2 linked regions of the Caenorhabditis elegans genome follow. The protein of the gene in region 1 purifies or fractionates together with the protein of each later gene. This does not show direct contact. Each region holds a gene or a part of one and is shown in the gene's direction. Other genes may lie near its edges.

What was found.
Region 2: the proteins of lfi-1 (region 1) and aman-3 fractionate together in Caenorhabditis elegans (co-fractionation; one large-scale study listed by BioGRID). This does not show direct contact.

What each region holds. Positions count from the first base shown.
Region 1 is NC_003284.9:4,979,302-4,983,056, forward strand, and holds the start of lfi-1 (Rootletin-like coiled-coil domain-containing protein), read left to right. Parts: upstream 1-1,938; 5' UTR 1,939-2,194; intron 2,195-3,755. Other genes in the region: ZC8.6 (Phosphatidylinositol 4-kinase type 2), read right to left, coding at 90-293.
Region 2 is NC_003279.8:5,323,511-5,327,265, forward strand, and holds the start of aman-3 (Alpha-mannosidase), read left to right. Parts: upstream 1-2,045; 5' UTR 2,046-2,055; coding exon 2,056-2,175; intron 2,176-2,228; coding exon 2,229-2,384; intron 2,385-2,432; coding exon 2,433-2,550; intron 2,551-2,600; coding exon 2,601-2,769; intron 2,770-2,905; coding exon 2,906-3,033; intron 3,034-3,085; coding exon 3,086-3,163; intron 3,164-3,207; coding exon 3,208-3,481; intron 3,482-3,586; coding exon 3,587-3,673; intron 3,674-3,715; coding exon 3,716-3,755.

The sequences.
Region 1 (3,755 bases):
GCAACGCCGTTTGTTTATGTCGATATGGTTTTCATATTACACAAGTTGTTCGCTTTTTCTTTCTACAATTCCAACAAAAAATTGCTCACCTTTTCCGGTAGTCCAATTCGATGAAATCGTCTTCCAATATTTGGATATCTTGATTGAATTCTCTCCTTCGTCCGTGCTTTCGCCCGGTCAATACGGTCATAGTAGAAAGTTGGAGCCGCCAGTTCAACCACCCCGGTTGGTGGTACGATTCCCAGCTTGAGCTTCTCATCCACAAGTGAAGCTCCAACTTCTGACAGGTATCCCTGCAAAAAGTAATCAGTTAGTCTTGGCTATCAAATTGTAAACATTTATGTATATCATGCATTCTATATGCTTCGGGATTTGTATGTACTTGACACCCCTCTTCCAAGTCCGCCTGTATAACCATATAACCAGCCAAATCGACACATCTACGGCAGGAAAATGGACGACGACTACACATAATTATTTCAGTAGTACGCTAAGCACTCATGCGCCAACACTACCAACAACCTAGGCCCTCCAACAACAGCAGCGCATCATCGAGTTGAATATTATTTCATCGTCCTTCTTTCCCCCGCGATGTGTTGTTCTTTCAAAGTCCATTGACCCGAAAAACCGGTAACGGCAACATACATACACATACACTTATGCCAAAGGGAATCATTACACTTCGCAAATCATTCAGTTTGTAATCCAAGAAGATCTGCGGATTTTTCGTTGTTTTGAGTAATACGTTTGAGTCATTTTCACATCAGAATGGGATAAATGTGCATCGTTACAAAATTCTTGCCACATTTTCTTCGTCGCAATTTTTGCTCTTCGACCGACTTAATTTCTAATTCGCATTCTTTGACAACCTTATTTTCGTCTCCCTTATGTGCACGTTTTCAACAACATTTTGCTCTACTAGAGAGCCTTTTTTCCCTTCATCGACACCAATTTCAATTGGCTGCCATTTCGAGAGCAGAGAAAAGTCATTGACTATGTTGTTTTCTGAGAATCGAAAATGAGTGTCGTGAAAAAATACGATGAGTGGCGGCGGTCAGCGCGGCGCAAAGGAAACCGGCGGCTCACAATTGCTTCGGACCAAGAGAGTAGCAATTATAGGAGTGAGCGAAACATTGGCAACACTGAGCGAGAGAGCAATTCTATTAAAGTCAATGGGCGAATCGGGGTGCGAACCAGCAGCACCTTTCCTAGAATAGCAACCAGAGCCAGTATTCTCTCGTCTCCTTCAATTCTTTTAGGTTTGTTCGATTTGAAAAATGCCACGAAAAATTGTTTGTTTTTGAAGACCAGATGTAATTTGGGATAAACTTTTTGTCTTAAAGGTGGATTGGCTTCAGTGGTTTAAAGCTGCTCATGTGGTGCCAAAATGCCAAAATATCATTGTAAAATAACAACATATTTCTTCTAATTTTCTACTCTAATTGGACTTTAATTATTTGTGTTTAAACATTCTAGCATACCGTAGAAACTGATTTTTTATTCAATTTGGAACTTTGCCTAAAACGTTGAAAAGGTGTTTTATTATGATATCTGATTTGTTTGAATGATTATAAAAAATTTAGATAAAATCCCCACTGACGCTATTCCACCTTTGAGGTCCTTTCAGTTGCAGTCTTCCCGTTTTTTCCAACTTTTGAAAACAATTTCCAAAACGGGCATAAAACCCCTGCAACGCCAAATCCCCGGGAAAATCTTGACAATGGTCGTTTTTTGGTGCGTGTATGTGGTCCGTGTCACTTTTTTGGACATGATGCCAGCCGGGCAAAGGACGACATGCCCATCAAACTTTCAAGCCAGTTGTCCTCCTTTTTTAGTGTGTGTCGGCTATCCTTTTTTGCAATTCTCGCCACACACACACACACACACACACCATCCAACAACAACTCTTTGAACCAAAGCAACAAACATTCTCTCCAGAAATCAATAGTGACAGGGTGCACATACACGCGCCAACCGGCGAACTCCTTTTTTGTCTTCTGGTCGCGCAAGCTTGACAAAGACATAGAATCAGCAGCGGCGGAACAACGAAAAAAGACACGTGAACGATTGAAGCAGACGAGAAGAGAAGAAGAAGAACGGCATCTGTTTAACGAGGGTAGAAACTTTCTCTTCATTGTGCTCGCAGCTCAGCCAATCACCTGCCCTTTCTATTCTTTTCTAAAACACAAATCCGGTAAGGTTTTCCTAAAATTGATTCATGGTCCCCCCAATGAATTGACATATGCATATATATCATCCAGCTTGGCAGCAGCTTATTTTCCTAACGTGAAGGTCGGCACATTTTCTCTCCCTCTTTCATTTTCTCGTTCAACGCTAGAAATAAATCGAAAGAGAATTTGAGTTCCATGTTTTAGGCGACATTCGGTCCCCTGTGAGTAGGAAAAAACATAATATGTGTTGTTTCGGCAATTTTCTTGTTCAAATGTTAGTGGGTGGAGAAGTAGATAAGGGTATTTCCATCACCTTATCAACAAAAAGCTTGTTGCGGAATCAAAGGGGGTTAAAATAACAGTTCGCCTTACTATCGCGATGTTTTTTGTTTCGAAATTCAAAAAGTGTGAAGTGAGTGTAGAGGATTATGTGTGAGACCGTCTTTCAAAACTAATGTTGTTTCCTCAAAATTTATACTTTTTTAGGGAATTAAATCTAGGAAAAAGTATACGATGTTCGTATAAGTACTCAGTCAAGCTCTACTTCCAAACAACTTCCCACTACTCATCCACCATTCTTACGCAACTTTTCAAAAAGATAGCAGCCATCATTAGGCAGTTTCCCAGAATTGAAGTGAGAAAGAGAGAGAGAGAGAGAGAGAGAGAGAGAGAGAGAGAGAGAGAGAGAGAGAGAGAGCACGGCTCAACCGCGGTCTTGTCCTTGCTGGAGCACAACGATCGGCCAACGTCGTCTTCTTCCCCTCTTCCGTATTTCGTTCTGGTCGTTTGTTGTTGTCGACAACAACACAGAGAGGGCGCCCTCCCAGATCGATGGCTCAAGCCACCAGAGTACGCGCGCCCCACTCCAAAGAAGGCGTGGCCCGTGGCGATGGGCAATGTTGATGTCGTCGTCGTCGTGCTCCACTCGCTCTTCTCCATCTCTCTGGCTCACACTCTGTTTACTTGTTTACCTCTTGCCTAGAAAGGGGAATGAAAAAAAAAGAGCAGGCCATCCGCGCGAGCCCGCTCAGCAAAAAAGTCGCAATTGTCCACCCTTCCTTCTCTTTTTTTTCCTCTTCGAAATCGGTGGAAAACTCCAAGGAAGCTCTTGTTTAAGTCATATTTACTATACTTGGTAAATAGGAAATGCAATAGTCACTAGTCACTGGAGCAATAAAATAATGTGTGCTCAATATTTTTCGAAAAACAAAAACAATTGAAGAATTTGTGTTCTCGATTGTTTTCGACACTGCCTTTTCCTCTACTAAAAATTCCTAGTAGCTAAATTTTCAACTTCAAAATTCACATGACTAGTGTACATACCTTTACTCTATTGGACTCTTCCCCCGGTTGCTATGCGACAAATAACGATTCCAGCTTACCCGCGCGCCCTCTCTCTCTCCTGCTCAATCTTCCCGCCTCATTTTTATATGTACATGTATATATTTGTCAAAAATTGGATGGGAGGGGGGGCGAACAAATGAAACATGCAAACAAAATACGTGTTTACAAGACCTCCGACCTACCGAATGCTCACACTCTTCACGACTTTCTTTTTTGAAATTCGATCTACTCAAAACATCC
Region 2 (3,755 bases), on another chromosome or scaffold:
TATTCACAACAATATATTTAATCCCTTTTCTCTTTTTCATCCCTTTTTTCTCTGTGCATCGTGTTTTCCAATTTCCCCGTTTTTTTGGCTTGTAGCAACCAGGTCAAATAAGAACAAAAGTGCTAGTTCAAATCGTAAATCCCGTAATTAGTTATTCGCATTTAATTGTTTCTCTATATATTTGTCTTATTCACAAAATAAAATTTATATTGTTAATATTACTAAAAGTTGATTTTTTAAAATTTTTGTTGAAAAAACTCATGAATGTGTTGATGAGATTCAAATGAGTACATGCCGAAAAAATTGTTTTCTAAGTACAGTATTTAATATTCTTTTTAAAAGTTGTAAGATGGAACATTGATACATGTTTGGTAGATTTGCCAATTTACTAAAACTGGCAAATTTTTTTTTGAAAATCTAAAAATTTTTGGAGCGATTAGGATGGCATTTAGTTGTCAGATTATTAGAAACGTATTTATTTTAAATATTCAGTGACAATCATTAGAAAAATCCACTAAAATTGGTAACAGTGATTTTGTTCGACATTTCGAAGCTACATACGTCCGCTTGTGTTTCGCTTATACATTTTTTTTTGTCAAAACATATATCATGTTTTAAAACATAGCCTCAATTTCGTCTACACCACCTTTCAAAACTTTCTGCTAACAAAAGTGTATTAAATTTTAAGTTATTCTCTATTTGGGTATTCAGAAAAATTACCGACCCCTTTGGTTTTTTTGCTTCCGGCGTTCTTTCAAATTGAAAGGAAAAATTCATGAATTTTTGATTTGTGCTACTTCTATGTAATTGATTGAAACATTTTGCAAAATATCTTCTATTAAAAAAATATTTATTAATTTTGTCGCTGATTAAAAACGAGGAATTGATTATAATATTTCCATAATTAATTTGTGTTATATAAACTTTAACAAATTAACTTACAAAAAAACTTCCAAAACCAATAATCCACCATATATCATATTTAAAAAGTTCACAAAAAATGACGAACCGTCTCGCTTTCACAGCTAAAAATTCAAAGGCAATGTGAGTGTATATTTCTCTTCTCTCCATTCGTTTCCATCTATTATATTTCCAATAAAATGCATCACTGTATGAAAGCATTATCGGAATTTTACATTTCATAAAAATCTGTGTGCCACGAAACTTTTTGGTGTGCTTTGTATATTCGTTTTATTTTGGGAAGCTGGTTTGCTTTTTTTTCATAGCAAAATTTGATTTTTCGGGATTTTCACTTCAGATGACTCCGATTTGCCCAAACTTGGAGAGAACTTGAATCCGATGGTCAAAAACTCCAAAGAAATATTTCAAATTATTTTGAAAATTATTCCTGAACCATTTTTCTCATCAAAATCCGCTGCAAGTTTTTTTTCTCAATATTTTATCAACTGCAAAACTGAACAAATTCCTTTTATTGGTATTTTTTAATTCTATTTTCTACTATTTTCTATTTTCTATTTTTTCTATTTTTATAACTATTTTCAAACGTAACTTAATTTTGAAAATTAAAAAATTAAACTTGGCATAATTTAGTAATTTTGAGCTTAAAAATTGAACTATTTGTGATAAACTCGGTTAAAATTGTCAAAAATCAAATTGCCAAAACTGATATCAACTGATTACAATTTGAATATAAAATTCTTATAACTTAAAAAAATATATAGTTTGCTAAAACTAAAAAAAGTTTTTAAACATAAAAAACGAGAACAAAAATTGGGCAAAAATAAATTCACGTTCAATCCCATGGAGATTTTTTTGCAGCAGCTATTTCTGCGTTAAAACCGCCCGTGAGTTGGCATTCTTTTACTACTCATAAAATGTTCCTAAAACAACCATATCCTATAATTTTATGTGTCCTCTTCAATGCACACACTTTTTCACCTCCTTTTCCCCATTTCAGCTGTTCAAACCAAACGCTACCTCCTTTTGTATTTCAATCCTATTAAATTTCCCACATAATTTGTGGAATGCTTTCTCTTTTCAAAACAACTATATTCTTTCTAGAACTATATTGGTTTTTTTTTCAGCATACAAAAAATGCACCGACTTGCGTTATCAGCCAAACGGAAAGTACTACTCAATCCGAAAACTGTTTCTATTTATTTTTTTGCTATTCTCTTCACATTTTTATTGGCATATCATCAAAGATTAGGACAGGTTTGTGAACAATTTTTCAAATGAGCAAGAATCTGTAATATATTTTGTTTCAGCATAATAATGAGCTTCACATTTCACGAGTTGTCAACATGCGATCTTTTGTAAAAGAAGCCAATAATCTATCAAACAGTCAAAAGAATCCAAATATTTTCGAACCAAAAAATGAAGTCTGCCAACGACCACTCACAGAGTCTTCTACCAATTTTAATGTGAGTATCAGAAAAATTATCGAAAAAACTACTTTTTAATTTTTACAGACTTTTGACCTATTTGAGTCAGTTGTTGCCAAAGGAAATACACTTCCACCGGCTTCAAAGAAATCAAGAACTGAGAAGTTGAAAGTTTATGTGCTTCCATTTACACATGTAGATCCTGGTAGGTTTTTTTGTTGATAATTATTAAATTATGATTAATTTTGCAACCAGGATGGCTCGAAACATTCGAAAGATATACAAAAAGTACGAATCAAATTTTGGACAATATGCATCAGTTTATGATGAAAAATGAGAAAATGAGATTTATGTGGGCGGAATTTGTGTTTTTTGAACGATGGTGGTCGTTGCAAAACGAGCAAGTTAAGGAAGACGTCAAGAAGTAAGTTCGTGCCTACTACAAAAATTGAAACTTTTTAAAAACTAACATTATTGATTGGAATCAGATAATGTAAATATGTAAATCTACCTTGTAGACATCGAGCGAGTTTAACTTCCAAAAATTCCGAAAATTTCAGATTAGTTACGGAAGGTCGTCTTGAACTGGCAACAGGCTCATGGGTTATGACGGATGAAGCAAATCCGTATTTCCCAGTTTCCGTCGATAATATTGTTGAAGGATTTCAATTCATCCATAAGAATTTTGGTATACCATATGATCCTCCGGATTCTTAAACTTCCAAATTTCTATTTTTCAGGTATCAAACCCCAAACAATGTGGTCAAATGATCCATTTGGGTACTCGAATTCCGTTCCATATTTATTCAAAAAATCAGGTTTGAACATCTATAAATTTACTGATAATTGTTTTTTACTTCAGGCGTTCATAGAACTGTAATAAACCGAATTCATCACAAGTTGAAGCAAACATTGCAAAGTCAAAAGGCAATTCCATTCAAATGGCGGCAATATTTTGATGCAACTGGAGAAGATGACGTATTAACCCAAATCCTACCATATACACATTATGACATTCTCAATTCGTGTGGTTCCGATGCTTCGGTCTGCTGTGAATTTGATTTTAAGAGAATGACACATTGGTCGTGTCCTGGGCCGAAGCCTGAAAAAATTACGAATGCTAATGTGGCTGCAAAGTAAGTATTCAGCTGCAAGTACGCTTTTCGATCGTTAATTTTTAGTGCAAATAGGGAAAATACGGTATGTATAATAGAGGATACGTAACACAAACCTTATTTCAGGGCTGAAAAACTCGTCAACCAACTTGAAAAAATGTCCGAAATGTACAAGGCGCCGGTGATTCTTATGATGCATGGTGATGACTTCCGGTAACTATTTATATGCTTCTAAAAAAGATTAAATGAATTCAGATTTGATATGATTGAAGAGTGGAACCAACAACACGATAAC